Linked DNA regions of Pelodiscus sinensis. The protein of the gene in region 1 interacts with the protein of each later gene in a pairwise test. Links are inferred from orthologs where the notes say so. Each region holds a gene or a part of one and is shown in the gene's direction. Other genes may lie near its edges.

Evidence for each region.
Region 2: the proteins of KATNAL1 (region 1) and cytochrome c oxidase copper chaperone interact in binary tests that used the Homo sapiens proteins (3 or more experiments, as listed by UniProt). The two-hybrid records come from large-scale screens. The link is inferred for Pelodiscus sinensis from reciprocal best matches to the Homo sapiens genes KATNAL1 and COX17.
Region 3: the proteins of KATNAL1 (region 1) and CEP57L1 interact in binary tests that used the Homo sapiens proteins (3 or more experiments, as listed by UniProt). The two-hybrid records come from large-scale screens. The link is inferred for Pelodiscus sinensis from reciprocal best matches to the Homo sapiens genes KATNAL1 and CEP57L1.
Region 4: the proteins of KATNAL1 (region 1) and KATNBL1 interact in binary tests that used the Homo sapiens proteins (3 or more experiments, as listed by UniProt). The two-hybrid records come from large-scale screens. The link is inferred for Pelodiscus sinensis from reciprocal best matches to the Homo sapiens genes KATNAL1 and KATNBL1.

The regions. Positions count from the first base shown.
Region 1 is NC_134711.1:298,586,511-298,595,076, forward strand, and holds the start of KATNAL1 (katanin p60 ATPase-containing subunit A-like 1), read left to right. Parts: upstream 1-5,161; 5' UTR 5,162-5,434; intron 5,435-5,534; exon of another isoform or gene 5,535-5,681; intron 5,682-8,566. UniProt on the Homo sapiens protein: Regulates microtubule dynamics in Sertoli cells, a process that is essential for spermiogenesis and male fertility. Severs microtubules in an ATP-dependent manner, promoting rapid reorganization of cellular microtubule arrays.
Region 2 is NC_134711.1:143,106,678-143,114,517, forward strand, and holds the start of cytochrome c oxidase copper chaperone, read left to right. Parts: upstream 1-4,325; 5' UTR 4,326-4,478; intron 4,479-4,513; exon of another isoform or gene 4,514-4,597; 5' UTR 4,598-4,622; coding exon 4,623-4,735; intron 4,736-7,421; coding exon 7,422-7,506; 3' UTR 7,507-7,535; intron 7,536-7,840.
Region 3 is NC_134713.1:77,741,022-77,748,763, forward strand, and holds the start of CEP57L1 (centrosomal protein CEP57L1), read left to right. Parts: upstream 1-4,553; 5' UTR 4,554-4,584; coding exon 4,585-4,767; intron 4,768-7,742. Other genes in the region: SESN1 (sestrin-1), read right to left, coding at 1,173-1,457. UniProt on the Homo sapiens protein: Centrosomal protein which may be required for microtubule attachment to centrosomes.
Region 4 is NC_134714.1:59,894,500-59,902,207, reverse strand, and holds the start of KATNBL1 (KATNB1-like protein 1), read left to right. Parts: upstream 1-4,454; 5' UTR 4,455-4,625; intron 4,626-7,708.

The DNA.
Region 1 (8,566 bases):
TGAGGGCAGGGGACTGGACTCTACTCAACGCAACTCAATGACCTCTCAAGTCCCTTCCAGCTCTATGAGATGGTATATCACCTTAACAAAAAGCTTGACCCCACTCAAATTGTGCTCTACAGGGGACACAAAGCCTGCTATAAAAGAGAAAGTACAAACAAGGAAGGGAGGCAAAAAGGTCTGGGAGTGGAACAGCGATGGGATGACACTCTTCAGGCCTGCACATAGAGGAGGTGCAAAGGTGTCCACCATGGGGCCAATTCTGATTGGTCTGGAAAAGACAGAGTTGGTATGCTGCTGCAATCTCCCTCCCCCATGTTCTGGCTGTTCTGGGGGAAATCTGGGGCTGATTCTCCCCCAGGAGAGAGACTGGGGGGGGTGAGGCAGCTACCAGCTCCTCCCACAGTTTACACTCCCCTCTCCCACACAGAAATTCCTGCATATGGGCCTGCCCCCAGACTGCCTCCCTGAACACACCCAAGGGACTGAGGCACACTTCTGGACTCAATCAAAATTCCAAATCAAAGAACCATCCCGAGATGAGGAAAGGGCACACTGAGTGGGCCCTGACAAGGGCAACAGTGCCCTGCCAAAGGAGCACACCTGGAATCAGCAACACTGCTTTTCTCTGTAAATCATTTTGTGAGATTTCAGATGAAGGATGCTGTGCAAAATTATTTGTACTGTAACTATTCAGTAGAGCTAACTACCTTTTTTCTCTCTCTTTATAGAGGTAAAACCATTCTGAGGTCTCAGGAAAGGGGTGTTTTTATATACATGTTCTCTCTCTCTCTCTCTCTCTCTCTTATGTGATACTTATCTATGAAAAAAGTGTTCTATTAATATTTTAAGCACAATCCTGTAAAGACTGTCTTTTTTTCAGTGGATGGATTTATAAGGTTATCTTACATAGTCTTGTAGCATAGTGCAGAGTGTATAAAAATATGGCTGTATTTTTATATTTACTGCTTGGAGAACCATGGTGGCTGATTTATTCAAGCATCACTTCCAAGAAATGAGTATGTTCAGAATCTCAATGAAACTTCAAATAGGAAAGACACTTTTCACCATAAATATTAACCAATAACTGTGTCTAAAATGGTCCTTTTTCCTGGGGATATTTAGAAATCCAGTTTACATTACAGCTCTGTGTCACACTGTATGTACATGTAATCTGTTGTCAAAACACACATTACAAATTCATTTTTTAAATACCAGTTGGGGATAAATTGTCTCTTGAGAGTTATCCCTGAATACAAGACTACAATCTCTGCTATATACTCTAGGGCTACGTGTATACATCAGTGTTATTTCAAAATAACTGATGTTATTCCAAAATAACATAATCCACATCTACACACAAGCAGTTATTTCAATATGACTGCTTACTCAGGGTACATCTACACTGCAGGGGTTTTCTGAGTATCCTGGAAAAACTCCACCGCGTCCAAGGAACGCGTTTGCTCTTCCACTTTTTTTTGTGGCACACCAAACACACTCTTTTGGGGAGCCCTATATTCCTCGTTCTACGAGGGATAAGGGCTCTGCCAAAAGAGGAGGCTTTTCTGCCATTTGGTCCTGTCTAGATTGGGCCAAATGGCAGAAAAGCCTCTTCTGGAGAAGCGATCAGAAAAAGCTATGCAAATTGCGGAGCGCAATTTGTAGTAACTTTTTCCAACTCCCCCCCCATAGTGTAGACCTAGCCTCAGACTCCTGTAACCCTCATTGTACAAGGAGTAAGGGAAGTCAGGGGAAGAGTGCTCTATCTCAAAATAACTGCTGCGTAGACAGCGCCAAAACTCTAAATAAGCTATTTCAACTTAAGCTACGCAATTGGCATAGCTCAAGTTGCAGAGCTTATTTCAAGTTTAGCCCTGCTGTGTGGACATGCCCTAGATGCAATTACACATGCTGCAGATGACATCCATGGGATAAATTCTTAGGCTATGTTATGTAATATCAATAGTAATAGAGATGTAGCCGTGTTAGTCTGGTCTTGCTGAAACAAAAGACAGGACTATGCTTAAAAGTGCTGCATAGTCCTGTCTTTATGTAATATCATATATTGATAATATAGGATGAATTATACTTGGATGACTTAGTTGATGAAGAATATAATACATATAGCGTATGTCATGGCCAATAAAGCTACACACAATGCTGAGGATAGTTTATTCAACTTTTTATATGCTCAACACCTCTATGAGTGTCATTGGACTTCAGGATGTCCCTGTGGGTTGGATTTTACATTTAGATCTCTAACAGCAGAAAGAGTGTAGAATTGCTGGTACAAGGGACCTGACTTCCTAATTTTAGCCTTTTGATCTTGAACTGCCTTTCCAGCTCTCTTTCCTGGTCTGTTGCTTTCTCTGCTTCCCATTTTTGCCACTCTAACTCCAGTGATCTCGGTGGGTCTCTTTTTGCATTGTCCATTTCTCTTTGGCTGCCCATGGCTGGTATTTACTAGAAGCTGGGAACAGGAGATGGGATCAATCACTTGATGATTACCTGTTCTGTTCATTCCCTTTGAAGCATATAGCATTAGCTGCTGTTGAAGCCAGGATACTGAGCCAGATGGACCTTTGATCTGACCCAGTATAAGTGTTATTATATTAAATCACATTCCTTCTCCACGTTTGCCATCTCCAACATCGCCAAATCCAACTTCATGGCTGTTTCATTGAGAGCTGTATTTGCACATACCTTGCACATACCTTATCTTTTTTCCTCCAGTGAAAATCTCAATTACTTTGGTATTTATTTCTTGAACTATGTGCTGCTGCTCAAAGTACTGCCTCTTGGAATATGATTCTTGCTTGGTCACAGAATACTATTGTCTGTTCTATTGCCCTTACTGAAATAAACAAACAAAAACCAACAATCTATACCCTTTTTTGGTTGTTTCTAGCCATCTCACTTGTGAATCTCTTAGTATCCACAAGCTAATCTACACTAGATAATTAGATTGATCCAGCTATGTCATTTGGGGTGTGAAAAATCCACATTCCTGTGAGAGATAGTAAAGCCAACCTAAGTCCCCAGGTAGACAGTAGTAGCTTGATTGAAAAATTCTTCCACTGACCTAGCCTTTAAATTGGAGCTTTCTTCCTCCTGCAGTCCTACTTTCCTAGTCAGGTTTCACTCCCCAGAACAAGGCAAGCAGTCCCAGTACTCCCAGGCCCCAGCCACACCAAGTCCTGGCCACAAGCTGGCAGTTCCAGAAAGGAGCAGCATGCTTGGATTGGGTCCAAGGAGAAAGTGGCAAACAGAAGGGAGTTTCTGGTGGGGTGTGGACAGAGCCACACAGTACTGTTTGGGGAGCCTCCCACAGCCTACAAATACACACCACCCACAGCTGAAAAGGTAGATCTCATGGAGGTCACTGAATCCATAACATAATCTTAGCCTTACTTATTAGAGACTGGATGTGTGAAGGCATTGCTAATGAGATATAGAGCCTTTCCTGTATGTGTCACAAATTTGTTTCTAGCCCAGCTCAGCAGGGCTGGAATTATTTTAATCATTCCCATCTGTTGGAAGTTTGGTGGGTGAGTGCCAGCTTCCACATCACAGTTTCACAAACAGCGTATGGGTATGTGGGAGGACAGGGGACAGATGCAATGTGAGGGGTAGGCACTATGTGAGAGGACAAGGGACAGGAGTATTATGGGGAGGGATGCAGGCAGCATGTGGGTGTTGGGACTTGGGGGGAAGCAGGCAGTGTGTGAGTGTTGGGACTTGGGGGGCAGGCAGTGTTGGGATTTGGGAGGCAGGCAGTGTGTAGGTGTTGGGATTTGGGGGCAGGCAGCATGTGGGTGTTGGGACTTTGGGGGCAGGCAGCATTAGGTGTTGGGATTTGGGGGGCAGGCAGTGTGTAGGTGTTGGGATATGGGGGGAAGCAGCATATGGGTGTTGGGACTGGGGGGGCAGGCAGAGTTGGGTGTTGGGGCTTGCGGGGCAGGCAGTATGTAGGTGTTGAAGGTTTGGGGGGGAGGCAGCATGTGGCTGTTAGGACTTGTGGGACTAGGCAGCATTAGGTGTTAGAATTTGGGGGGGGGGACAGGCAGCATATTGGTGTGGGGACTTGGGGGGGGACAGGCAGTGTGTGGGTGCTGGGATTTGGGGGGCAGGCAGCGTATTGGTGTTGGGACTGGGGGGGCCAGATGGCATGTGGGTGTTGGGACTGGGGGGCAGGCAGTGTGTGGGTGTTGGGACTGGGGGGACCAGGCAGTGTGTGGGTGCTGCGGTTGGGGGGGGGCAGGTGGCATGTGGGTGCTGGGGTTGGGGGGCAGGCAGTGTGTGGGTGTTGGGACTGGGAGGGCCAGGCAGCGTGTGGGTGCTGTGGTTGGGGGGGCAGGTGGTGTGTGGGTGCTGGGGTTGAGGGGCAGGCAGCGTGTGGGTGCTGGGACTGGGGTGCAGGCGGTGTATTGGTGTTGGGACTGGGGGGCAGGCGGCGTGTGGGTGCTGGGACTGGGGGGTAGGCGGCGTGGGGGTGCTGGGACTGGGGGGCAGGCAGCGTGGGGGTGCTCGGGTTGGGGGCCAGGCGGCAAGTGGGTGTTGGGGTTGGGAGGCAGGCGGCGTGTGGCGGCTGGGGGGCAGGCGGCGTGTGGGTGCTGGGGCTCGGGGGCAGGTGGCGTGCAGGTGTTGGGACTGGGGGGGCAGGCTGTGTGTGGGTGCTGGGGGGCACGCGGCATCTGGGTGCTGGGGCTGGGGGGCAGGTGGCGTGTGGGGGCTGAGGAGCAGGCGGCGTGTGGGGGCTGGGACTAGGGAGCAGGCGGCGTGTGGGGGCTGGGACTGGGGGGCAGGCGGCGTGTGGGTGTTGGGACTGGGGGGGCAAGCGGCGTGTGGGTGCTAGGACTGGGGGGCAGGCGGCGTGGGGGCTGAGGAGCAGGCGGTGTGTCGGGCTGGGGTTGGGGGGGCAGGCGGCGTGTGCGGGCTGGGCGGGGGGGGGGCAGGCGGCGTGTGCGGGCTGGGCGGGGGGGGGCAGGCGGCGTGTGGCTGGGCGGGAGGGTGGCGCACAGATGGGCCGCAGGGAGGACCAGGGCAGGGAGTGTCTGATCAGACGGGCCCAAATGACCATTTCAGCCTCTGGCTCCTGGCTGGGCGGGGGGGGGGCAGCGGGCAACTCCCCCTGCTCCGGGGTCGTGGGGGGCGGGGCTGTCTGTGGGGCTGGGTCGCAGCGGGTGGAGGTGGGGCCGGCGGGCGGGTCGCTCTGCCCCCGGGCGCGGCGGGAAAGGGGCCTGGGCTCCCCCCGGGAGAGGCCGCGCCGCCCCCAGCCTCTCGCTGGGCGGGGCAGGAGGGCGGAGCGGTGGGATACCCGGGCACCACGGCCGGGCGTCGCCCTTCGCCTCCATGGCAACGAGCCGCCGGCGCGCGCACGCCACGGGCTAACGGAGTTGCTCGCGGACACGCAGCAAGGGCAGCGCTCCAACAGGTAAGGGCAGGGCCTGACTACGCGGCGCCCATCGCGGCTGCTGGGGCGGGGACGCGACACAAACCCCGACAGGGACCGCGGCGCGAGAGGCGCTGGCCATTGAACGTTCTGTGGCCGGAGAGAGCTGCGGAGCCTCTGCCGCGAAGCAGGATGGGCGATGTAGTTCTTGGGCTCACGCCCGCGGTGACGGCCGGCCGCGGCGCGGGCGGGCGCGGACTACAGATCCCAGCGCGCGGCCTGTGGCCGGGTAGGGGGCGCAGCTTGGCTTCGCCCCGGTATCTGACCCTGTGGGGGAGGGGTCGGGGGGGGACCCGCTGGGGACCCGGAGGTGGGCGCGACACCGGGGGCTGCAGCAGCGCAGGCTGGGCCTGTGTAACGGCGCCGAAGCTGCGGCCCGCGGTCTGTCGGGGGCTTGTGGCGCCTCCGCCCTGGGGGTGTCTGGGGGGGGGGGGAGGATGCAGAGCTGGGTGTGTAACGGGAGGGGCTGAGCGCAGCGCCAGGGGACGTGGGCGAGGAGGCAGCGAGGGCGCTGGGCTGTCAGTCCCCCAACACGTTAAGTCCCGTGAGCTGTGCAGCGCCTCTGGGGAAGCCCCTCTCGCTGGCTGAGCCCCTTGGACCAGCTGCTCTGTCCAGGCACACGCCTGGTTTTGCTTTTTCCATAGTTCCCTTTGGCTTTGAAATGCCCAGCGCTTCCCTCCTGAGCAGGCAGCCTCCTCTCCCCGGGTTGCACATTAAGGCTTTGTCTACACTCCCACGTAACTATCCAGTCTTTAGGTGCTTATAGATTATCAGTTTTGCCTGTTACATACAGCTCCGCTTTCCCTTTGATATTTATATACCCATTTCCCCCCCCTCTATTTATTTTTGGTTCTGGACATCTAACACTCCAGTCATCTGAAGAAGTGGACTGTGCCTACCAAAGCTCATGATACCATTTACATGTTTTGTTAGTCTTTAAAGTGCTACCAGACTATTTGTTGTTTTTTAAGTTTATCCCATACAGACTAACTTGGCTACCCCTCTGAAGCTTGCAAATCTTTTGTTGGTCAGGGGTGTGGAATCCCCCTGACCCCCCCCCCCAAACAATCCAGACAGACATAGGCAAGTTTCACTGACAAAAGTGTAGACCAGTGGTTCCCAACCTTTTGGGGTTGCTGGGTGCCCGGGGGAGGGGCCACTCGCGCTGGGCACCCGAGGGCGGAGCCGCACACGCACCTGGGGGCGGGGCTGCGGCTGCGCACGCTCCCAGGGGCGGGGCCTCCCATATGCTGCATGCCCAGTGCCGGTGCCACCCATGCGCTGCACTCCTGGGGCCGGCGCCGCTCCTGTGCCTCACGCCCAGGAGCTGGCATCACCCAAGCGCTGCGCGCCTGGGGCCGGCGCCGCCACTGCGCTGCGTGCCATGGGGCGGGGACGCCCATATGCTGAATGCCCAGTGCCGGTGCCACCCATGCGCCTCACTCCTGTGGCCAGCGCCGCTCCTGGGCTGCACGCCCTGGAGCCAGCAACGCCCATGCACTGTACGCCTGGGGCCGGCGCCACTCCTGTGCTATATGCCCGGGGGCAGGGATGCTCATACGCCACGCGCCCGGGGCCCGTTCAGCCCATGTACTACGCTCCCGGCGGCGGGGCCACCCATGTGCCACGTACCCCGGGGCCGGCACCGCCCATGCGCCATTCAGCCAGGGTTGGGCCACCCATACGCTGCGCGCCCAGGGGCTGGCACTGCCCATGCACCACATGCCCGGGGGCAGGGCTGGCCCCGATCACTCGGTGGGCACACAGAAATGGCCTGGCGGGTGCCATGGCGCCCGTGGGCACCATGTTGGGGACCACTGGTGTAGACTGTGTGGCCAGTGGTATGTTGGCAGGAGAGCTCTCTTCCACCAGGATAGGGCAGTGGTTCTGCTGTGTCACTGTAAGGCAGTGGTCTCTAACCTTTTTAAGCACAAGATTACTTTTTGAATTTAAGTGCAATCCAAGATCTACCTCTCATATAAATATCCTTCCCCACTTCCTTCCTACCCTTTCTCCAAGGCCCCACCCCTGCTCACTCCATCCTCCCTTTCTTGCCCATCCTCACTCACTTTCATCAGGCTGGGGCAGAGACCTTCACCGCATCCTCTGGTAAGGAGTTCCACAGGTTGACTATGAGCTGAGTGAAGAAAAACTTCCTTTGGTTTATTTAAACCCTGCTGTATATATCATAGGGTATGTCTAGACTACATGCCTCTCTTGCCAGAAGCATGTAAATTAGACTACCTGACATAGTCAATGAAGCCAGGATTTAAATAGCCTGGCTTCATTAAAATAAAAATGGCTGCCGTGTTGTGCTGGCTCAGCTGATCGTCGGCATAGCGTGTGAGTCAAGACGCGGATCGGTCGACAAGGGAAGCCTTTGTCGACCGCTCCTGTAAACCTCGTTTTTTTAATAGAGAAATAAAGCAGGTCACACTAAAACCAATGAAAATAATTGACTTATTTATTGAAGACATTGTAGGAGACGTGAGATTTTTAAGTGCAACTTAAATGAGAGGGTAGTATTAGGGATGGTTTTGAAGGCATGATGGACAGCATGAATAAATTAGGCAGAAAAGTGTATGAAAAGGAGTAAAGGCTAGTATCTTTTTTCAGCTATGCTATTCTTGCTAGTTAATGTTTTATTGAAAGCAAGTGAAATGTTAGGATTCATGCAACTTGATGTTTATATTAGGGATGTAAACAGAGGTAAAAGTAAGCGAGTGCACCCTGGTGCACAGCTCTGGCAAGAGCTGGCTGAGCTGTTGCAAAAGCCAGCAGGGAGCTATTTAAAGAGCTGACAGAGACCCGGGTTGCAATAGGACAGTACCTATAAGAAATTTTAAGTTACTTTCACTGCTGGATGTAAAATCTCATTTAATTGGAGGCATGGAGCAGCCCTTGCCTGTGATGTGCACAGGCCACTTGGACAGGGGCTGCACTGGATGCCTGGAGCAGCCCCTGCCTGTGAAGCACTGGGCCTAGTTGACCTTTCACACCCTAGCATATAAGCCACAAGACAGACTCATTCTATATGGAATTCTTGGCATCAGGAAAGCGGCTAGAAAATATCTAGGTATATTCAAGTCAGGCTTGATTTAGCCTAAAGTTAGC
Region 2 (7,840 bases), about 160 Mb from region 1:
GTGGACATTTTCTTTTAGTGCAAAATCCCCTTTTTCCTCAAGATTGTAATCTTGCGGAAAAAGGGGTTTTTGCGCTAAAAGAAAATGTCCACACTGCTTATTTTTGCACAAAAACTGATTGGCAGAAAATATGCAAATGAGATTGTGACTCATGCAAATTAGTCTCTCATTAGCATTTTTGCTGAGAAAACTCGTAGTGTAGATGTAGCCTAAGAGTATGGCTATGTCCCCATGCTCTGATTGACCTAACATGTTAGAAACAGAGTGTAGTCATCATCGCAGAAGAGGCCAGCTGCACCAGTACACACTTGTCCAAAATGCTAGGCATGTAACTCAGAATGATTAGCGCCTTCTGCCACTGCAGCTACACTCTATTTTTGCACGTAGCTCTGATCAAGCTAGTGTAGGTATCCCCAGCTCCAAGTGTAGACATTCCCCAAGAGCTATGAGGCAGGCTCTGTCTCATACTTCTTTCAGAGGTTCTGACATCTCATTGAGGATTTCCTCTTCATTGTACCACCTTCCCTGGTACTGGATATCACAGTAAGTGAAAATCCATTGGCGCAAATCCTTTGGTAGCTTTCAGTATGACATATATTCCTGAAGGTCATTCATCTGCCATTACAGAAAAGACAGGCAATGATTTACATTACTGCAGTGGTCTCCAACCTTTTTAGCCACAAGATCACTTTTTCAATTTAAGTGCAATGTAAGATCTACCTCAAACCCAAATACCCTTTCCCTGCTTCCTTCTCACCCCTTCTTTGAGTCCCTGCCCCTGCTCCACACCTTCTCCGAGACCTCACCCTGCTCACTGCATCCCCCTTCTCCCATCCTCACTCACTTTCACCAGGATGAGGTAGGGGGTTGGGGTGCAGGCTCTGCTCTTGGGCCAAGAGGTTTGGCGTGTGGGAGGGGCTCCGGGTTTAGCCCAGGGTGGAGGATTGGGGTTCAGGAGGGGTTTCAGGGTGCAAGCTCTGGGAAAGAGTTTGGGTACAGGGAGACTCATGTCTGGGGCAGGAGGTTGGATGTAGGAGGAGGTTCAGGGCTGGGACAGGGGCTCAGGATGAAGGCTCTGGCTGGGCACCATTTAACAGAGACAGCTTCCGGGTAGTGGAGCAGTGGGGTTCAGACAGGTTTATTCCTGCCCTGGCCCTGCACCACTCTGAAAAGTAGCTGGCATGTACAACAATGGCTCCATAGCACCATGTATTGCCCCTCATCTACAGGCACTGAGCCCACAGCTTCTACTTGCCACGGTTCCCCGTTATTGATCAATGGGAGCTGCTGGAGCAGTGTCTACAGGCAAGGACAGCCTGTGGAGACCCCCTGCTCTGCCTTTCTCAGGGGCTGCAGGGACATGCCAGCCACTTCCAGGAGTAGCAATTACCATAGGGATAATTACTCCAGCCGTGAGAGGTTAGGCATTTTAGAATTCACTCCTCAAATAATTAAATTTAACCATAAGAGAGAAATGAAAATGATTAAATGCACAGACCAGTCAAAATCCCAAAGTAACACACTTTTCAAACAGTAAAAGAAATAACAACCCCCTACACACATACACTATGTCTACACTCGCAGCTTCTTGCGCAAGAACATCTTGCACAAAGGTTCTTGTGCAAGAAAACGTCCACACTGCCATGTGCGAGCTGTGCTTTTGCGCAAGAGTGCCCATGGCAGTGTAGACGCTCTCTTGCGCAAGAAAACTCTGATGGCCATTCTAGCCATAGGGCTTTCTTGCGCAAGAAATCCCTGCCACGCATCCACACTGCCCTCTTGTGCAAGAGCTCCTGTTTCAGAAAAAGGTGATATAAAGAATGGGCCCTGAGTTTTAGGGTAGTGGTGGCTGCACTAGCTTCATATCACCTGAGGAATCCTCCATGCCAGGGTAACACCCAACCCAGCAACTGTTTTAGAGCAGCTTTCAGTCCTCTCTGTATCAAAGAGCCATGAGCTTAACATCTGCAGCATGGTCCAAACTGCTCTTTTGAATCTTCTTTATCTAGTAGTGAATGATATATAGAATCTTTTAAAGTAGGTGTGATGGCCAGCACTTGGTAACTAAAGGGTTAAACCTAGGTTACTAAGGCTGTTGTTGGCAGGGAGCCAGAAGAACCAATGTGATACAGAGCTGAAATTTAAATTGTAAATATATACCTGCAGCCGTTTCTCTCTATGTGAATTTTAAGCCAGGAATTGGGAGAAAGAGAATGATTTAAACCAGGCAGGACTACCATGCCTCCAAGGAACTCATGCCATAGAGGTGAACTGGATCATGAAGGGATCGTGAGTAAATAAGGAGAAAATGTATATTTAGTCATAATCTGGGAATGTTCCTTTGTTTTGGTTGTTTGGTTAAACTTCTCTGTGTGAATCCACGCCTTCCCTCCCTCACTCACCATATTTAAGCTACAGCCCAGAGATACCATTTTTCTCTGTGTTTTAATCTGTTCTTTCCTCAGTTGCTCTGTAGCACCTAGCAAACAAGTATGCTTTATCAAGTATCTTTTTTCTTTTGTTAATAAAATCACTTTTAAGGTGATGATTTGATTCTTGTGTCCTGGAGGTCTCTTATGTGTGCCTGCCTAGCCTGAGAGTTCCCTATCAGAGACACAGTTTGTTTACTGTGGGGTTTGTTGTTGTTTCTTTTTCAAGCTCACTTGGGGTATCCCTTGGGAAGAATTTCAAGTGTTTTTTTCTGTTTTTTTTAGGGATTAAATCACTTGATGGTAACAGCTACCTCCCAAAGTCAGTGAATTTGTGACACTGGGGAGTTTTTATAAGAAGAGTCTATAGAAATAAGGTATTTAATGTCTCTTGCAGGCCCCCGCCTTCTGCATTCAGAGTGCCAGAGTGGGGAACATCTCTGACACTAGGCAAAAGAAATGTCTTTAGGCATTTCATTCCTAGTTCCACCTGTGTTGTATCTACATATGTATGGCAAACACAGATTCTGGTGACCAGATATACTAGTGGGCTGGGCCCCATTTTTGCTATGCTTACCAACCCCCCTCTAAGCAGCCAGAGAGCCTGTTAATCTCGCACTGACTATTTAGAAAAGCGGTTTAGAAAAAAACTGTTAATTGGTCTATTGCTCACATACTACATGTTACAGATGGATCTACAGACAGATCTCAGTTTTGCAGTTGGTACTGGTGGAAGCACAGGTAAGCATGACACTAAGACTCCACTTTTAAGTAGGTTGATGACATCATTCTGTTGCATAGCAGAAAAAACTTTTGTATATTTAGATAACTGGTTCATCTTTTAGCCAGTCCTCCCCAGCCATCTAGACTCACAATACAGAAGCGTAAAGACCCGATAAATTTGATTGCACCCACAAAGTAACAGACAAGCAGGAATATTAGGTTGTGGTCCTTGGCACTGGATAGTTGAATCTGCTCTATGGATTGTTGGCAAAACGAGTAAGAATTTCCTCACGCCGCTTTCAGGTCAGGATAAGATTAAAAGATCTGCATTCTAAGGAACTGCATTAACACCAACCAAGATCTTAATCACTTGCACTGTGAGTGGGACACCCTGATCCATTCAACCTGATAAAAGGGAGAAGCTGGGGGCCTGGGGAAGAGGATCAAACTTTTTTCTTCTCCTTGGTAGAAGCATGGGGAGCTAAGGAAAATGCTTTTGCCCCACCTAATCATTGCGGTAGCAACTAAGGATTGGTTATCTAGTCCTCATCCTTGGCATTTCCCATGAGCTTTGGGGTGGAATAAGAAGTAAATCCCTCAAGAAAGAATGGGCTTGCTTTGAGCCAGGGTGCTGTGAGAGGAAGGGCACTAAGAAAGGGGATCTCCTCTGTGATGCGTTACATAGGCAGGGGCAGCCCATCCATATAGGTGAACTAGGCGGTCGCTTAGGGTGCCAAGTTAAATGGGGCGCCAAATGGTGGTGCAGTATCATCCAGGGGTTTGGAGGTGGGGGTGCCGATTGCATGGTTCGCCTAGGGCGCCAGTTGCTGGCAGCTAGTCTAGGGCTGCCCCCATACATAGGATATTCGCCTGTAAAGGTTTTTGGAGGGGAACTCGCTGTCCCGTTGCAGATTTGGCTCCAAAGTGCCTGTGGGGCAGACACTGCTAGTGCTGGGGGGCGGGAGTTGCAAGGCCATGTGAGCCGGGGGCGCCACCCGCAGTGCGACCCGCCGCTGCTCGCGCCCCAGGGCGGCCGCGCTAACGAACACGGGGAAGCGCCTCTCCTCGGGGCCAGCAGCCCCGCCCCGCGGCTCCCGCCGGCAACAGGCACGGGGCGGGGCTAGAAGAGGGAAGCCGGCAATAGGGGGGAGGGGCGGCAGGAGTCGGGCAATGGCGGGGGGGGGGGGAGGGGCGCGTGGCTCGGTAGAAGAACTCCATTTCCCGGCGTTGCCCCGAGCGGGGCGCGCAGGCGCAGTCAGGTCTTGCCGCTCGCAGCCCCGGCCCTGGAGGGCGCGTGCGCATTTGGCGATCCGTGCGCGAGCCCCGGTAGGACCATGCGAGGGTTGCGCATGTGGGAAAGGGAGGGGTGGGGGGGTTTGTGCCGAGACCCCCCCCCCTCGGGTGGGGGCAGCCGGGCGGCTCTGACCAGCCCCTTGTGTCCGCAGGGAGCCTGGGCCGCTGCCGCCGGAAATGTCGAGCCTGGCGTCCGCCAGCTGCGAGCCCCCGGGCCCGGCGCCGCCGGAGAAGAAGCCGCTGAAGCCCTGCTGCGCCTGCCCCGACACCAAGAAGGCGCGAGATGCCTGGTGAGCGGGGCGGGGCGGGCGCCGCCATTTCCCCTCCCCCGCCGCGGCGCTTCGCTCTGCCCCCGGCCCCGACCGCACCGGGCTGCTCGGCCGCCTTCGCTGCAGCCCGGGAGCGACGCAGCTGGGCCCGGCTCGGCGGGAAGTGCCGGCCCGGGGCGGTGTCAGCGGGGGCCCCTTTCGGGTTGTGCCTCAGCGGGGCGCGAGGCTTCCCCTGGGGCCACACGCGCACCGACCCATCCAGGCCCGCCTGGGTTTAAAGTGTCGCCCCAGTCCCGAGCTGGTTCCCGGTGGACAGATGACCCCTCCCCCCCTCAAAATCCCCCCGAGCACTGGCTCTTGCCTCCCTTGCTCGCAGCAAGGCGGGGGGGGGGGGAGCAGGTGGCTTTGCAGATCCAGCACCTGGCTCCCCACATGTACTGGCTTCCGCCTGCCCCTCTAGCTATCCGTGCTGCTGCCTCTCTATCAGAGGCAGCAGGGGGGAGGGGAAGCAGGCAGCTCAGAGAGCTGACTTAAAAGCTGTCGCCGCATGGGCACCACTTCTGTCCTCTGCTCCGGCTTTGCAACCTCTGATAGAAGGCAGCAAAAGGGGGGGGGGAATGCTTCTAGTCAGTAGGATTAACCGATAAGAGCAGGCTGTTTGTCAATGTGCAGTTAACTACACGATTAACTTCCAAGTGAAAATGCTGTAGTGCAGTAGGTTCATGTTCCATGCAAAGCTTGCAGGTCACATGGTGCTGACTGCTCCTTTGGGGCTGGGACTGTATGCAAGTTAGTGAATCAGCAAGTGCACAGTGGCTCTTAAGTAATGAATTGCTATCTACAATTACAAAATGTAAACCCCACAGTAGGCATGGGAATTATTTAGGGTGATACATATTCATATACATTACTTGACTTTTTGTCTTATCTCTCTGTGTACAAAAAACCCTTTCCTGTGGGACAACAGAGTGATGTCATCACATCACTTTGCATCCCATAGCCCCTCCCTCTGCCACCTTGCTTCTTTCCTCCCTCCCTGGTACTCCAGTGGGCCGGAGCTAGGGGCCACATGCCCTCCCCCCTCGTGGGGGCCGCTAGCCCCATCACACACACACACTCTGCTGAGACTCCACATACCCCCTTGGTCGAGACCCTGCACTCCCAGCCTACTCCTGTCGCCGCCCCCCTGGCCAGACACTTACCCCCAGCCTGCTCTTGCATCCTCTCCCTGGCCACACACCTATTCCCAGAAAGAAGGGGTTGGTGAGGGTAGCAAGCAGGGGGCACAGCCCCCTAGTGTAGTTAAAAATTAAAATAGTACAGTGAAGGCTAAACATCAGACTAACTTCCTGAGTGTGGGGCATGGCAGGCCATGAAATACTTCCTCAAAGGAAAGGTCAGATACTCTTTTACATTGGACACTTTAAAACTAGGCTATTTTACACAACCAATAACTATCTAATGGTGTTAACTTCTACTAGATATCCTTCATGGTAAATTCTTAGGATTTGAAAAAGCACTTATGTAGATAATAAGAGAATCCAGTGTTAACGTTAGATAGGATAAAAAGTTTACCTTCAGCAGAACTTATATATTATTCTGCAGTATACTTTATGTGCTATTTTGTGCTCTGAATCCCGTTTTCTAAGCCTAACACTGTCTGATATAACATAAGCAATACTAACTTTTCTCAGGATCATGAGTGGGAGAGCAGTTGTGGGAAATACTCTTTACCTCTCTGTGGGAAAATGGTAGTGTTGGGATATCAAAGCAAGCTCTGTAACAGTGCAAGCTTCCTGTCTTACACTTGTCACTTCTTAGCACTTTATGGGCCTAATTAAAGTCACATAGCAAAGGTTAAGATTTTTGTCACAGTTATTTTTAGTAAAAGTTACAGACAGTTCCTGGGCAATAAACAAATTCATGAGAGGGACTGACTGCCCAGGGGATGGTGGTGGGAGAGTTGGTAGGCTTGACAACCCTGGCCACTGCAATGGGAGAAGGACCCGCTCCAACTCCAGCCCCATCCATTGGAGGGGGAAGGAGGGGAGAGCACCAGCTCTAGCCACTGCCAGGGTGAGGGGAAGGAGGTGCAGCTCTGGCAGTAACCACCATTAGTGTCAAGTGAGTTTTCAGCAATGCAGCAAAAATAAAATGGTTAATGAGTGTGCTTGTAATGTTAACATTGCCCGTCTCCTTGTACTGACCAGATTCTCTGACCACAGAGCCTAGCTGGCAGCCATTTTACTACGGGCTGCCTCCCTTCCACTTGAAAAGACTGGCAGCCATCTTAACTGAGGGTAGCCAGTGGTGTCACTCTCATGGGGAAGGATGGAAGACAGTCTGTGTCTTTACTATGTGCTATCTTTCTGTGTGCAGTAACTCTATGAGGATAATCTCTTTGAAGTATATCAGTTAATTCTCCCTGGTGTAAACTATACAGCAAATTTGAAATTACTGCCATTTTGAATTGTATTTATTTTACATATTTTAAAACAGGCAGGGAAAGTCAAACAACAAACCATCTGAGTTTAAGGACAGCCTTAAATTAAATCAGATTATTTCAGATTTTAGTCTCTGCTTACTATAAAGTCTGTTGCAAATGGATACTTTTTGTGGACCTTCACGTGTAAGAGTCCATTGGCCTTACAAATCTGAGTATTACGTGGTTTTGCTAGCTAACCATGGAAATCTTTTTGCATTACAGCATCATTGAGAAAGGGGAGGAGCACTGCGGGCCTCTTATTGAGGCTCACAAGGAGTGCATGAGAGCGTTGGGGTTTAAAGTATGAGTGAGATGAGCAGCGGGGCTGCATGCATGGTGAGTACAGATCATGGGACCATATTCCTTACTAGCTCTCTGACTCTGCACTGGTCCAAGAATTCAGTAGGTGTCACTAGTAGGCCTGGACTACCTGCACCGCACCTCCATACATGTGAAATGCAGGTATCTGCTGATGTCATCAGTGGCTCAAGAATAACTCTTGCTGGCCTCTTAGAGAGTTTGCAGTGGTGAAAGGACTGCTGGGGTCTAGGTAATTCTATACTGACAATGCACAATCCAGCCTTTATGTGCAGTTGCCCTGTAATAGATTTGATTTGGGGGAGGCTAGTTAGAGAGGGTAT
Region 3 (7,742 bases), on another chromosome or scaffold:
GCCAGTGCCACCATATAAATGGCTCATAGCACCTGGTCGCAGTCCTAGTCTGGTAGGGGCTGGAGCTGTGAGTCTCGTAAATTGCTGCTATTTAAAGTAGGGATGTTAGATAGCAAGTGACAGAATACTCGAGTAACCGCATGAATTCTTATTGGTTACTTGACTACTCTATAGTCCTGGGGCAGGGCTGGCAGCTAGTGCTTTCCAGTCCCACTCCAAGCGAGTCCCCTGCCACTCCATGAAGCTGACTCTCTCAAGGCAGCAGCATGGGGTGCCAGGTGGGATCAACAGAGGCAACAAGAGGGTAGAATGCGAGTAGTCAGGAAAATTAACCACTAAGCCTAGGCTTAGTGGTTAATCGTATATTACTCAATTACACACCTAATTTAAAGGTCTTGCAACTCCCAGCCCCGCTGCTACCCATTGCCTGGGAACCACCTGAGGTTGCTATGACTATGGCTGCGGTGCTACCCCGACAGGGGCCAGACCTGTGAACCCTTGAAATAGCCACAGCAACCCTGTGCTGCTGCCAAGCAATGCAGTATAGGCTGGGCCAGGATCCATGAACCATTTGCTGCATTTTTTCTTCAGGGTCTCTGGCCTCAGACAACACAATCTGTCTTGATTTTATACTAATAAGACTGACTTAGTCACAACCCTAGTAACACCTGACAATTATATTAAAATAACAATTTGGGCATATGCTCTCCTGAATGTACTTGTGCCCCAACAATAAACCCATATTTCATTGTGAAAATTTGCACAGGAATTCACTTGCAAAGGGAGCTGATTATGTCTGAGGACACCACTTACTTCTTTATAAGCAGATTACTTCCTTATCGATGTTATGCACTCCTCTGACAGATAAACTTTGCCAGTATTTTGGTTAGTTATGTCTCAGGACAAATTATATAAAGTTCTTCAGAAACTAGCTCTACTGCCAGTTTAATATTAACGTGATCAGTCTGAACTGAACACCACAATACAGTCTAGACTCTAGAGAGTACAGTTCAAAAACGAAAGCTTTCCTGTGATACAGCTGAAGAGGCACTATATCTTTATACTGTTTTCTACATCAAGATAACGCCTATTAAAAATATGAGGTACTCTAAGCTGCTTCAGAGATAAGAAATAGGAGGGCTGTTTGTTGGAAGAGGCACCGGGACTCTTACCTGAACACTGCTTAGAATAGACTCACTCTTCTCCCTGACGTTTCTAAAGGGGCATCTCTGGGAAAGCATGAGGAGGCGAGCCAGCATCTCATTCAATCTGTCCGGAACTGTAGCAGAAGCCAAGCATCCTTCCGATGGCCCAGGAGGAAGATCCTCTTTTACAGGTGAGACCTGGGCTGTTCTCCTCAAAACAGCCTGCCGGATGTTTTCCAAGGCAGCATCTCTGGTGCTGGCATCCCTGCTGCACAACCCATCCCACCTCACCTCGCCCTCTCTCTCCTCCATCCTCCCTCGGCTCCAGGGCGCCCCAACCTTCACCAACTTTGCCTCGTGGTGCAGGAGCAGCAACAGCGGTTGGAGATGAACAATAAAGCCCGGGCCCAGCCCATGGAGGGCACCCCCAGCCCGCGGGCGTCCCCCGCGGGTGTCGAAGTTCTCGCCGTTAGAGCCGCCACGCGCCTCGCCTCTCCGGACAGACGCGGTTCTGGGCACGGGGGGCCCGGCCTCCCCACACCATGACAGCGCGGGCCGGCAGCCGGCAGGCGAGGGGGGTATGAAGCTTTGTTCGGGCTGGAGCCTGGTCGGCCCCTCTTCCCGCGGGGTCCGGCGGCGGCAGCGACGGGGAGGGAAGCGGGGCAGGGCGGCGTGTTTGCAATCGCCGCACAGCCGGGGAGATTCCCACGTCCCGGCGCAGGCGGCTCGGCTTCGGGGTGCGGGCGGCTCCCGGCTCCCGCTTCCAGGGCAAGGCGCGGGCAGCGCGACAGTCGCGTCCCGGGGACTGCAGGGCGCTCGGGCAGGGGTAGCTCGGCGCCGGATAGACCCAGCGCAGGAGCCAGAGCGAGCTACACAGGCCCCGCCCCCTTGTGCCCGGGGCTCCGCCCGCCTTCTCCTCCTCCCCGCCATCCTTCAACGACCACGCCCACCCCTCGCCTAACTGTAAAATCCCAACCCCTCCTGTGCCCGCTTGTTGACAGACAAGCCTCCTTAGCCAATCGCGTTTCAGAGACATAACTTGAAACCAATGACAATGACAAAGAGGCGGGGAATCGGGCTGGGCGGCCACTCTCTGCTGCGAGGTTCACTGGGATTTGTAGTCTGATTAAGCCTACAACTCCCAGCAGGCAATGCGCACAGATCTGCCCGTGGGCTGGAGTTGGACTGGGTCATAATTGCCTTGGTGTTGGGCCAGAGAAATTACGAGTAACGTAAACCTAGTTTCAGTGCTTCTCCCTTCTCTATCCCCAGGGTTATAGCAAGGGTTGGGCGGAGAGAGGGCAAGGATGAGGAATCAGGATGCCTGAGTTTTATTTCTGGCTCAGCCACTGACCTACTTTGTGGCTTTGGACAAATCACTTTACCTTTCCATGCATGTGTATTCCTGTGCTTCCAACTCCTCTGTGTCTGACTGGTTTCTAAACAATTCAGGATAGAGTATGCTTCCTACTATGTATTTATATAATAGAGTTGTCAACTCCTTTATCTTGCTTGGGTGCTAGCTCTGGGCTGGGGCAAGGGGTAGGAATTCAGGCTATGGGAGGGAGTTTGGTGCAGTAGGGGATGTGGGTGCAGGCAGGGATAAGAGGTGCAACCTCCAGGAAGAAGTATGGATGTTGTGTGCAGACTCTGGCCAAGGAAGGGGAAGGTGTGTTGCTCCATGATCTGTGCGCTGCTACATCTCTCTCCTCCTCCCTCCCCCCCACCCAGGGGCCACACAGGGCCACACAGCGGCACATATAGGGCAGAGCGAGCGGGGCGGCTGCCCCAGGCCCCGTGCTTTAATAGGCCCCGCGCTGGCGCCGGTGTTTTTAACCTCTCATCCTCCCTGCTTAGAGCAGGATCGGCAGCCTGGGGCCCGCGAGGGAGCCCAACGTGGCGCTTTGGAAGCTCAAGCCCTGCCCCCACTGCAACAGGCAGCCCGCGCAAGCCCCATGCTGGTCGGGTCTGGCCGCAAGGCAGCAACAGCCCCACCCCCACGCAAAACAGAACAGAACAGCGCGGCGGGGCCCTTTGTGGTGCAGGAGCTGTGAACCAGCAGGGGAGGGTCGCTCAGGGCTGCTTCCACCCCCCCGCACAAGCCCATTGGCTGGACCTGGACAATGGCAGCTGCGGGAACCCACCAATCACTGCTCCCCTCAGGCTTTTAATCCCTGAGCACATGGCCAGGTAGCTCCTGTGGGAGAAATGGGCGAGCAGCACTTTTAGGTAGGTGTCTGGCCCCCCCAGCCACTCCCACGTCTTCACCCACATAACCCTCCTCCCAGACCCTGCACCCCAATCCCCTGCCTTGGGGCACAGTCCAAACCCCTGGCCAGATCCGCTCCAGGCCTGCTGGTCCCCAGCCCGTTTGTGTGATCCCCAGCTGATTTTTCTGTAGAGTCAGTGTCCCCTAACCCAAGAGAGGTTTCCCACTCCTGCCACAAATACAGAGGCCCCTGCTTTATAACAGCCCGCTTTACGATCCTCCCCCTGCCACCACCATTATGACCTTTTTCCGAAGTGGGGAAGAGGCCAAAATCCCCCAACTTATGTCCTTGGCCTATTGTAAATGCAGGCGCGAGTTATGACTAGGGTTGCCCGGTGTCTGGTATTGGCCCTGACAGTCCAGTATTTGTGGCTTCTATCAGGTGGTAAACCCCCAGAAAATACCGGACCAGTAAAATGTCCGGTATTTTCAGTTTTTCTCAACTGGAAAGCCAGTTGGGACATTCTTGCTCTGCCATGAATGGGGTGGAGAGTGTGAGATTTAAAGGTGCCATGATTTTTTTTTTGTGGCGGGGGGTGACTTTTTTTGCTCAACATTTGGACATCCCCCTCTTTTTTTATTAATGCAGAATTTTGTTTAAAAATGAATTACAATATAATTAGAATAAAAATTATCCAACTAAATTAATTTTCTATCAAATTTACCCAATTCACATTTAATATGAAAATAGCCTTCAATTTGTGCATTTGACGCCTTTTTTCCATTTTTTTCTCCAAAGGGGGGCCTGGAGAAATTGTGCTGCCCTGGGCCCCGCAAAACTCTCATCCACCCCTGGGGCCACACACACATGCCGGCAACTGTATAGAATGAGCACTAGCCCCACTACACTGACAGTGTTAATGGCAGGAGCTCCTGGGCAGTTTTAAATTGTCTGGGGGTGGCAAATGGGCCAGGAGGATGTGAGAGAGGTTGCAGGCAGGGCCTTGCGAAAAATTCAGCTCTGAATTTAGTGGAGCCTGACCCGTGACCAGGAATCTTTCTGGTGTCTGGGCAGCACGGATCCATATAACTCATGCCTATGTCTGCGGTTCTCAGAATATGGGTTGGGACCCCCCAAGTGAATCATGACCCCCTTTTAACGGGGTCACCAGGACAGATGTTATACACTTGAACCTCTGTATTCTGGGTGTCCGTCATCCAGGAACATCTATGGTACAGAGGAGAAACTGGCTCTGTGAACTGCCACATCGTCTCCCACCCGTTGAGGGAACAGCAGCATGCTGGGCCACTTACCCTGATGCTTCTGCCCTCTGTTCCCATAATGGCAAGGGGTGGTGCCTAAAAGCGGTGAGGAGTATGGAGCTTCATGTGCCCCTGGGAGTAGGGCAGCAGGTAAGCACCCTATTCTCATCCCCTCACGTCCAGATCCCGCAGTGTCCTCTCTGGCCCAGCAAAATCTTTAATCCAGCATACCCTATTTCCCAGAGTTGCCAGATTAAAGAGGTTCGAGTACTTGCTGGGCCTTGGACCCAAACCCAAGTCCCACTGCCTGGGGCCAAAGTTTGAGTGTTTCAGCCTTGGGTAGTAGGACTCAGGTTACAGGCTCCCTCCACCCCTTGGGGCTGAAACTCTTGGGTTTTGCCCCACCTGCCCAGGGCAGTATGACTCAGGTGGGCTCAGGCTTTGGTCCCCTTTTCTGGGGACATGTAGTAATAAATCAGGATTTAAAAAACAAATGATTTGGAGGTTCTGACTCATGAGTATGAATATTTAGGATTGGAAATATTATTACAGTTGTAAAATGGGATATACCTTGTTATGGGTGGAGTCAGAGGTGAAAGTAAGGGGGGTGCACGCTAGTGCACAGCTCCAGCAAGAACTGGCTAAGCTGTGGCAAAAGCCAGCAGAGAGCTATTTAAAGAGCTGGCAGGGAACCGGCATGCTATAGGACAGTACCTGTAAGAAATGTAAGTTCCTTTAATACCTGGGTGGAGTTAAAACCTTGTTGAATTTGGTATGTGAACATGTCCTTCGCTTAAGATTGCTACAAGGCAAAATTAAAGAGGCCTACATAAAATGCAAAATGGAATTTTCTGAGAAAATATGGCCATATGGGCAGGTGGTTCTACTATGTACTGTTTTTCTGACCAAGTAGCTGGGAAGGCAAAAAATGAACTGGCAGAGATTCAGAGGCAGCAAGAAAACCAACCAGCCACATGAAAATACAACCCTAGGAGAAGGAAAGGTTCTTGGTTGGTGGTGCTCGCAGAAAAATGCTTGAGCTGTAAACAGGCTTGAATGTTTGTTTCTCTCTGAAACTCAAACTGGTCGTGCATGTTTTGTTTCTCTTCTTCTGAGAAGTCCAGTGTACAAAAAGAGAACGTGGTCCCTGTTTTCCAAAGATTGCTTAATCTTCAGCGGTGAGAGAATCGTGGGAGAAAAATTGATGAGGAGTCTTTAAAATTATCTTTATTTGTGTTTCTATTCTATTCCATTTTATGGTCTCTTAGTTGCATGATAAAAATTTTTTTGTTGGATAGCTTAACAGACATCCAGGAAAGCACATATTACTTTCCCCAAAAAGTTTCTCATAGTATGTTTTAGAAACAAATTCTAAAGAAATGGCAAGGCTGTTTCACCTGCCTATGGCAGCAAGTTGCAATAGCTAAACTTCTCGTCCGACAGTCTCATTAAATATTAGATACTTAGAAGGCAAAAACTAATCTGTTTGAAAGTGTTTAATGTGAATGACAGAAGAGGAGGGCTGCACTGAGCAGGGATATGAAAGTTTTGCTGTTTAAGGTTAACTGGTGGAGGCTGGAGGAGCTCCCCACCTGTTTCAGCCCTGCAGGTGGGCCTGCCCCAGGCAGGGGTGGCCAGAAAATTCCTGCCTGCAGGATGCCCTGCAGTACAGGCAAGGGACTGCTCCAGCCCAGCGGTAGGTGGGGGACCACTCCAGCCAGTACGACCCTGGAGTGACCCCCTCCCACAGTCTCCTTTTATCCATTAATTGGTTAAACAACATGTTTAATCAGTTAATCAATTAAATGGAATTTTGTATCCCTAGCATTGAGGCATAACCAAATACCTGCAGATCCACCCGGCGGTGCTGTAATTGACTAACAACTTCTTGAAACAGCTGCCTGCCTCTCGCCCCCTCGCTGCTGCCGCCGCTGTTTACAGGCTTTACCTCCCTGCAAAACAGCGGAGGGTTTGCCCCTTGCCACGCCGTTCCCCACCGAGCCTCCGCCCTCCCTCCGCCCCCACCGGAGGCAGTTGAGGAAAGATAAATTGTGAGCCTGTCACCTGCGGATCCATCCGGAGGTACTGTAATTGACTAACAACTTCTTGAAACAGCTGTCGGAGCACTTCCGGGTTCCAGTTGGTGCCGGACCACTGGATGCCGGACAATTGGAATTTCACTGTATATCTAGAACAGATCTGACAAGAGTTTGTCAAGTCTGTTCATAACAACCCCTAAGGATGGTGATTTCACAATCTTTCTTAGAAGCCTGTTCCAGAGTTAAAGTATCCTTATATCAGAGGGGTAGCCATGTTAGTCTGAATCTGCAAAAGCGGCGAGGAGTCCTGTGGCACCTTATAGACTAACTGAATTCTCTCTTATAGACTAACTGAAATTAGTCTATAAGGTGCCACAGGACTCCTCGCCGCTTTTGCAGTATCCTTATAGTTATAAAGATTTCCTAATAGCTAACCTAAATCTCCCTTGCAGGGGACAGCGTCCCTTGCTTCTTGTTCTACCCTCAGGGGACATAGACAACAATTAGTAGATCATTCTTCTCTTTATAAAAGTCCTTACTGTAATAAAGGCAAATAACAGGTTTCCCCTTGGACATCTTTTTTCAGGATTAAATATGCCTCATTTCTTAAATCTTCCCTCATAGTTCAGGTATTTAAATCTTTTAGCATTTGTGTTGCTCTTCAATCTACCAACGTCCTTCCTCAGGGGCCCCAACAGACTTGTCAAGCCTATGGACCAGGTGTGGGAGTGGAACTCTGTGCTCGTGGAAGAGGTGGGGCTGGGGCAGGGGCTAGCCTTCTTTTCGCCAGCCCTTCAACCCCACTCAGGGTACGTCTAGACTACATGGCTCTGTCGACGGAGTCATGTAGATTAGTGTACTCGAAAAAGGGAAATGAAGCGGCGATTTAAATAATGGCCGCTTCATTTACATAAAAATGGCTGCTGCGCTGTGCCAATCAGCTGTTTGGCGGCACAGCGTGGTAGTCTGGACGCTCCGCGGTCAACAAGGGAATCACTACTCATTCCACGAGGCATAATGGAGTGGTCGACAAGGGCTTCCGAGACAAGGGCTTCACTTGTCGACCACGGAGCGTCCAGACTACTG
Region 4 (7,708 bases), on another chromosome or scaffold:
TTACAAAAACTCCAAAAAATCCCAGATTCACTGGCCCTGGGAGATAGGCTTCCACCATCAAGTGAATTAAAACCCTGAAAACAAGGAAAAACACTTGAACTTCTTCCCAAAGTGTACATAAGCTCTTTTACCATGAGAGCTTAAAAAAAGAAAAAAAACACAGAAAATAAACGCCATCTTCCTGGGCCCTGCAGCACGGGGGAGGACTGGGGGACGGCGATACTCTGCCCCAGTACACCTACAGTGGGCATTCTGGGAACAGAGTGTGGGCAGGGCCAGCCTGGTGGTCTGGGAAGCTGCCCATGAGTTCCCCCTGCTGTATGTGTACTGGCCCATAGATTTCCCTCCTGTAAAAATGCAGTTGACACAAACAATAAAAGATTCTGTTGATTCTGAAATCATCCATTTTTATTTAGGAAACACAGTGAACAGAGGCAGAAGAAGAGTTCAAGGCATGAGCTCTGATGGCAGGGGAGAGCTCAAGGGCAAGAAGCTTATTACAATTAGGGGTGTCAACGTGAAGACAACTACATGATTAACCGATAAGCCTTTTGTCAACTATACTCACTCACTCTGCTCCTCCCCACTCCTTATGAGCATGGACCTCTCTACCCCCATACTTCTGCCTCTGATAAAAAGGCAGCAGCACAGAAGGCGAGGGGGGCAGGCAGGAGCCAGTACATGCAAGAAGCCAGTTTTCAAGACAGCAGCCTGTTCGTATGGGCTCCTGTGGAGCCACCTGCCCTTCCACACTGCTGCCTCTCTCCATGGGGTCCAGACCAGAAGGTTAACTCTTACAATGAATGAAGCACTGTGCTGCACAAAAAGCATATATTATGTACAAGGCCAAATCTATCATTTTAAGCACCTGTCAGGCAGGTAGAAGACACAGATCAGCATGGGGCAGGGGAGGCTGATACATGGGCAGCAGCAAGGGGTGGCAGGGAACTCCACAGCAGTGCAACTGGTTGTGTATTGGATTCTGGCCCCACCCCTGGAGACTGTGGAATAGTCGTGTAACCTTTAAAATTTGATGAGGTTACACAACTATTCAATTACAAACTATCGATCATCCCTAATTACAATGCCCTTGTATAGCAATCAAAGCTGTGGGAATGAAAGCCTTCTGGTCTAGGAGACATCCCTGGGAGTTGAATGAATGGTTTCCCATGACTTCACCCCATACCCTGCATTCCAGGGCACCTAGGAGAGGTGACTATGGAACTTGGTGAAGAGGGCAGGTGGTTTATCATTGGGTGCAGAGGGGACACTGCTCCATATGCTTTTCTTGCATCTCTACCTGGCACCTCATCAGCTCTGTTTGCTCCCCCACAAACCTCAACGTCTCATCTCACATCCTATGCTCATGTTCCGTGTATGCTCTCCTCTCCTCCTGTTCGACGTTTATGATCTGTAACATCGTTCTCTTCCATGCATTCTGTTGAGCTCTGTCAGTGTGGATGGATTTTGAACTTGCCCATTTAACATTTCATCCCATGTACATTTTTTTCTTTCGCCTTCTGATCTGTGACAATGGATGTATTGGTGGATCTAGAGAAGTGGGTAACAGAGTCATCGTTGCAGCTACCTTGAGTGAAAAAAGTCAAGGGTAAACTTTAGAGAAGATACATTGTAAGACACAAAAGGTTAACTCTTAGTATGAATAAAGTATGTACAAAGCCAAATATATCATTTTAAACATCTATCAGGCAGGTAGAAGACACAGCTCAGAATGGAGCAAATGGACTTGGTTTGGTGGCAGGGATAGTAAGCAGCATATTGAGATTCTTACTCTTTTGATTATGCTTTTAAAATATGTGTGACAGTGTTTGCAAACTACAGCCCTCATTGCTATCTAAGCATTTGCATTTGCAAGAGGGGCCACATTCATGAGGAACCCTGCAAGTGGGTGAACCAGGCGGGTTTTTAGAGGCTCGTACATTCAGCATGTGTTTTCCCCACGCACTCCTCTGTTATACCTGCAGACTGCAATTCTCCCTTCCCACAGTGACCTGCATAAGGAGAGGTGGAGTGAACCTGTTCTTCAGGATAATCCCTTCAAGCCCTTTACAATGATGGCTGCAAGTCTGGGGTCATGATTTTCCAGAGATGAGCAAAAGGAGGCAGTTTGCCTCAGTGCTATCAATTACAGAACTTCCACTTTTTCATCCAGGTTGCCATGCGTGATATCAGTCTTCTCCAAATCAGAGAGTATGACAGAAAGTGGATGCTGACTGAATGTGCTCAGAAATCTGTATCTTATTCTGCTATGCTTTGTGCTGCAATGATGCCAGATCACTTACTCCTAGCTTGGTGTGGAAAGATGGCCTACTGTGGAGAACGGAATAAGGCAGGCCTTCCCAGAAACCTTGTGAGAAGAATTAAAGAGTACTTCTATGAGAGCGTTGCTAAGATGTACAGGGAGGATTCCCGCTTCATCTCCAGATATGTTTACAAACTTTACCAGAGAGCCCATGCTGTGTAGGCAGAGTGGCTGCCACTATACCTCTCAGGACAGAGCAAACAGAAAAATCCAATTACATTTACCCACTGTAACTTGATTACAAAAGTGAATTGACCAGAAGTGCCCTCCCCACCATCAGGGTCCCACAGCAATACATCCCGGGAGGAGATTGGCCTCCTGGCTGTCAGTGAGACTGGATATCAATGTTTCTTCTGCTGCTTTGGAATTCTGCCTGCAAAAATTCCTCTCCTCGTGCAGCAATCAGATACAGGATTTCCTGCATGCTTCATTCTGGAGCTCATTTATGACTCTGGCATTCATGGTCAGGTATGCTGCTGAGGTGTGTTGCTGAGCTTGCCATGTGGCAAAACAGGAAATGAAATGCAAAATTTCCTGGGGCTTTTCCTCTGTACTGGGAGAGTAGTAGAGTTGAAAGTACTGGCCAGAGCAGTCACAGTGGGACACATCCTGGAGTTCAACAACATCGACTTTACCAAAACTGTGTCTGAACGATCCCAAAGTTGATCATGCAAGGTCAGATTTAGCACTACTGTTGTCAAGGGGAAATACAAAAATCTACTTTAACCACCCCTAAAGTCAGCAGAACATGGAGGAAGCTGAGCGTGTAGGTTAACAAAGATTGTGGGGACAAAGGATGAAAGCTTGGCCCAAATGAAGTTAATGGCAAAACTGACATTGTCTTCAATGGGGTCAGGATTTCACACAAATGAAACTAATGGAGTCCGTGAAGAGAAGAAGAAACTGCCTGAGAAGGTGCTGAAGTGACATGGCTAGCTGAAAGAATTATGTCTACAGTGAGAATATAAGAAGGGTTGGTCAGAAAATGACAAGTATTTTCAACAAAAAAAAATCACTGAAACTAAAATTTTTCATTTCTTTCAAAATCTTTCAGTGATTTGATGAAACAACTCAATTACTTTCCCCCTCCAATCCCTCCAGATCAGTAAGCAGGAAGAGAGAATTAATAAGGAACAAACATTTTCTATTAAAAATGAAAAATGTTTATATTCATTTTATTGAAAAATCAAAAAAGTAAAAGAAACACAAACTTTTTGTAATAATGCTAATTTCCAACAAAAAGTCATTTTAAACCTAAAAAAATAGAAACCACTATAATTTGAGGGCCAATGAGGTGATCTAAGGGGACGTCATAGTGGAACAATTGAGGGGAGTGAGACACTGGGCTGGAGGGGTGGTTGAGACTGGCAAAGGAGTGTTTGTGGTGGCAGTGAGACAAAGGAAGGGGGTAGTCTTGTGGCACCTAAGAAATCAACAAATATACGGGATCATGAGCTTTCCTGGGCAAAACCCACTTCATCAGATGAGTTGGGCAAAAGGAAGGGAGTGACGCTATCTGAGAAGTCATGGGATGGTGGGACTGGGGGGGGGGGGGGAGGAGTTGTTGAGACAGCACAATGGCCTGAGAGAAGTGTGGAAGTGAGGAGGCTGAGGTTGGGTATTTGGGGGCAGGGAAATTCCCTGAAAGTGGGTTCGGGGGGAGGGGAATGAGACTGAGGGGCTTGTGGGGCTGATGTTGCTTAAAGGGATTCAGTTAGCACTGAAATGCTTTGAGGGTCATTGGAAGAGGGGAGAGGGAGACAGATGAAGGTATATTGTGGGGATGGTGGGACTTTGAGGGGTAGATGAGGAACTGCTGAGGCTGTGACTCAGGGGCAGAAGTCAGGGCACCAGCGGGAGGGAGTGTTGAGGGTGACACTGAAGCGGGGGCACAGCTGCTGAACCTTGGGTGGGGTAGGGCAGAAGGGAGCCTGAGGGAGAGCTGAGGATGGGTTCGTCAAATCTGAGGGGGGGGGGCAATGATGCCAACGGAGGGGCTGGGGCCAGGCAGGGCAGTGAGGGCCAGCGGGCTGTCCGGGGCGGTGATGAGGATGCGCGGGGAGAGGTTGAGGCGGCCAGAGCCAGGGGTCTGGCGCGTGCAGTTCCCGCGGCCGCCCCTAGGGGACGCGGCGGCGGGGAGGGGCGCGGTCCCGCCCCGGCTCTCTCCGGCCCGGCATGCAGCGCGCCGCAGTTTGAATGGCGCAGGCTCCGCGGAGTGGGCCCCGGCGCTAGGACTGCCACGGATCAGCGCCGCCTCCTCGGCTCGGCTTGGCCCGCAGCAGCGCGGTACCATGAGCAGCGGGTGAGTGGGGCGGCTGGGTTCTCGGGCCCGCTCTCGGCCACGGCCCTTCCTCCCTTGGGGCTGAGCCCGGGGCCGCTCCCTGGGCCGGGCAGCGCGGGCGCCTGGCTCCGCAAGGGAGGCGTCCCGAGCGCCCGGCCCGCAGCTCAGCCGGGGTCGCTGGCAGGGCTCAACCGGGGTTGCACTGGCGCCTCTGCGGCGTTAGGCCGTGGCTGGTGCCAGGCATGGTCCCTGGAGGGAGGGGCTGACAGGCAGGGTCTCTCCCGCCGCGTCTCTTCCGGCTGGACAGGTGCCGCTGGGGCGGGGATACTCTCCTGGCACGTCTCTGAGTGTTGTCACAGGCCTCGCAGCTCGGTGTGTGCCGGGGCGTGGGCTGACCCGACAGCCGCCCGGCGCCTCTTGTCTCCGCCACCGTCTGCTGCTCGCCTGTGCAGCCCCTACGTGCGCCCGCTTTCTGGGCGGCCCCCTGCCGGGAGACGTTACACGTGCCATTAGTGACACGGCTCCTTCGTTTTACCTGGGACAGTGTCCGCCCCCCAGAGGCGCGAGATTGGGCAGAGTGTCCTTTCCTAGCAGGGTGATGAGATGAGCCGCAGTTTAAAACGAGATCCGTGAAGGTGTAGGAGCTACCAGGGCGGCTGGAACGCATATCCTGCGATTTGCCCTTATTTACTCTGTTTAGTGAGTGAAATTGGTGTCTTATTCCTGGGGGAAAATAGAGGTGAAAGTAAGCGGGTGTGCCCTGGTGTGCAGCTCCAGCGGCAAAAACCAGCAGGGAGCTATTTAAAGAGTTGTAGAGACCCGGATTGCGATGGGACAGTATCTATAAGAAGCTTTAAGTTACTTTCACCGCTGGGAGGAAAAAACACACTTCAGGGCTCTGGAGACTGTATTGCTTTGCTAAGGGAGTTTTGGTTTTCTGAGTAAAATACATGACTTGCATTAGCGTCATTCAGTATATTTAGATTTAATTCCTGCTGTCCAAACAAAGTTAGAGAAAATACAAATGATATAACTTATAATAGTTGACATTTTTTAAGACTTTGGAACTATATTTTTATTTTGCAAAAATAACTTTTTTCATTGTGATGTATATTACACTTTTTAGAACTGCCTCAAATCTATATATGGTCCATCAACCATATGAAGAAACTCGCACAGATACAGACAGACATCAAATCTATATGTATTTTAAAATAGTTACAGTCCTTTCTTGGTTATATATAAATTTCCCCTCTAAGCACCTTCCCCTCTTTCCATTCCTCCTAAGCTCTCTGCCTTAAGCGGAGTAAATAGATGCCACTCTGGGTGTTCTGAAGAAAATTTAATAAAATCGCAAATAAAATTTGTAATTTGCTAGTATTCTTTGTTCAAAGGAACAAATAGAACAGATAAAAGCCACTAGCAGAATTATTCTATTCAAGATAGTTGTATCCCCAGTGTAAATAAAATTGATCTACAGTGTTGTTGATGGGTCTGTGTACAAATAATGTTATGGAATTGGTAAAATGAGCATTAGCTTGAATTTCTAAATTTGTATTTGAGAATTGTAGTTTATAGTAATCATATTTGCAGGAGAGCCAGTGAGACGTGCATCTGTTTATATTTTTACTCAATTATCTGTAACACAGATGAAAATTAGTAGTCTCAGTTACTACAGAGTTATCAATGTGTAAAAAATTTTAAAAATCTGTTAAATCTGTGTCTTCACTTTTGCTAGTAATGCCCTGAATAATATCTCAAAGATGCCAATACACTATCTAAGCCCAGGTTTACACTACAGCCAAAGGCCTTCTTAAGGTATGCAGTAGGGCAGCCCATTTAGCAGGTCTTCAAGCAGCATTGATCTTCTTCTCTATAGCTTAGATATAGCCTTACTTGAAAATTTTTTGTAGGGGTTTAGCATTTTATAGGCTATGCATGGTTTTCTGAGTAAAATGCATGACTGTATCTAAGATCTACCTGGCTCTAAACCCGAGGTAGGCAATCGTTTTCATAGGCTGATCACTTAATGAATTTTGGTATTGACCATGGGGTCTGCGGTAGAGATGTAAGTGACTAATCAACTATACAATAAGCATAAGCTTATCAAATAGTTGAATAGTGACTCTACTAGTCACTCCCCCATCAAGTAATTGACTAGTCGATGGAATTTCCATCGATGAATTGATTAAACACAATTTAACATCCCTACCTGGGGCAGAACGGGCGGGGCTGGGGACTAGCCTACCACCAGATTTGTCTGGGGCTGAAGGCTTTGAAGTAAAAATACTGCAAAGGACTCGTGGCTCCTGGCCCTGCTGTTGCTGTGTGGCCTGGCAGCTGCCTAGAGTTGCTACATCTATTTAAAAGGCTCATGGCTTCAGCCCCTGCCGGTCTGGTTCTGTGACCGGGAGCCATTTAAATAGAATCCTGATACCTGAGCCACAGCTGGGCAGCAGAATAGAAATAGAAAGTGACCAGATGCAGTCTGTGGGTGGGATCCAAGTGTTAGGTGCGCTCGATCTCGTCCTTGGGCCACATCTTGCCCAGCCTAGATCTAAACCCTAATTTCCACACCCTTGGTCAGAGAAGCTGCGTTGGTGACTTCGGGGGTGCCATGCCAGGAATTGTGGCAACTGTATAAATTACTTGTTGATCAAAGGGATGGCTTGTAGAGGACTAGAGATGAAAAGAGTTAACTGCTTAACATCATCCTTACTGGGCGATGCTTATGGGTATCCGATTAACTGGCGGGGCACAGGGGCTGCTCCGAGACTAACCATTTATTCCTAATGTTTAACCAGTTACTATATTAAATAATTAACATCCCCATAGAAGACAGGACACAAATAATTAATAGGAAATGGCAAGGATGCGTAGCCTAGCCACAGATCTAAATTTAGAGGGCTCTTGCAAGAGCTTCTTCTCAAGTAGAAAGAGCTCCTTACAGAGAGCATAGCAATGCAGTGAGCAATGGTAAGAGTGACTACAAGGGGAGGAGTCCAACATATTTAAGAATTAGTTACTTTCCTATGGATTTAGGATTATATTAGTTTTCCTATGAACGATGTCCATTTCTGATACAATGAAGAATGTCCAATACA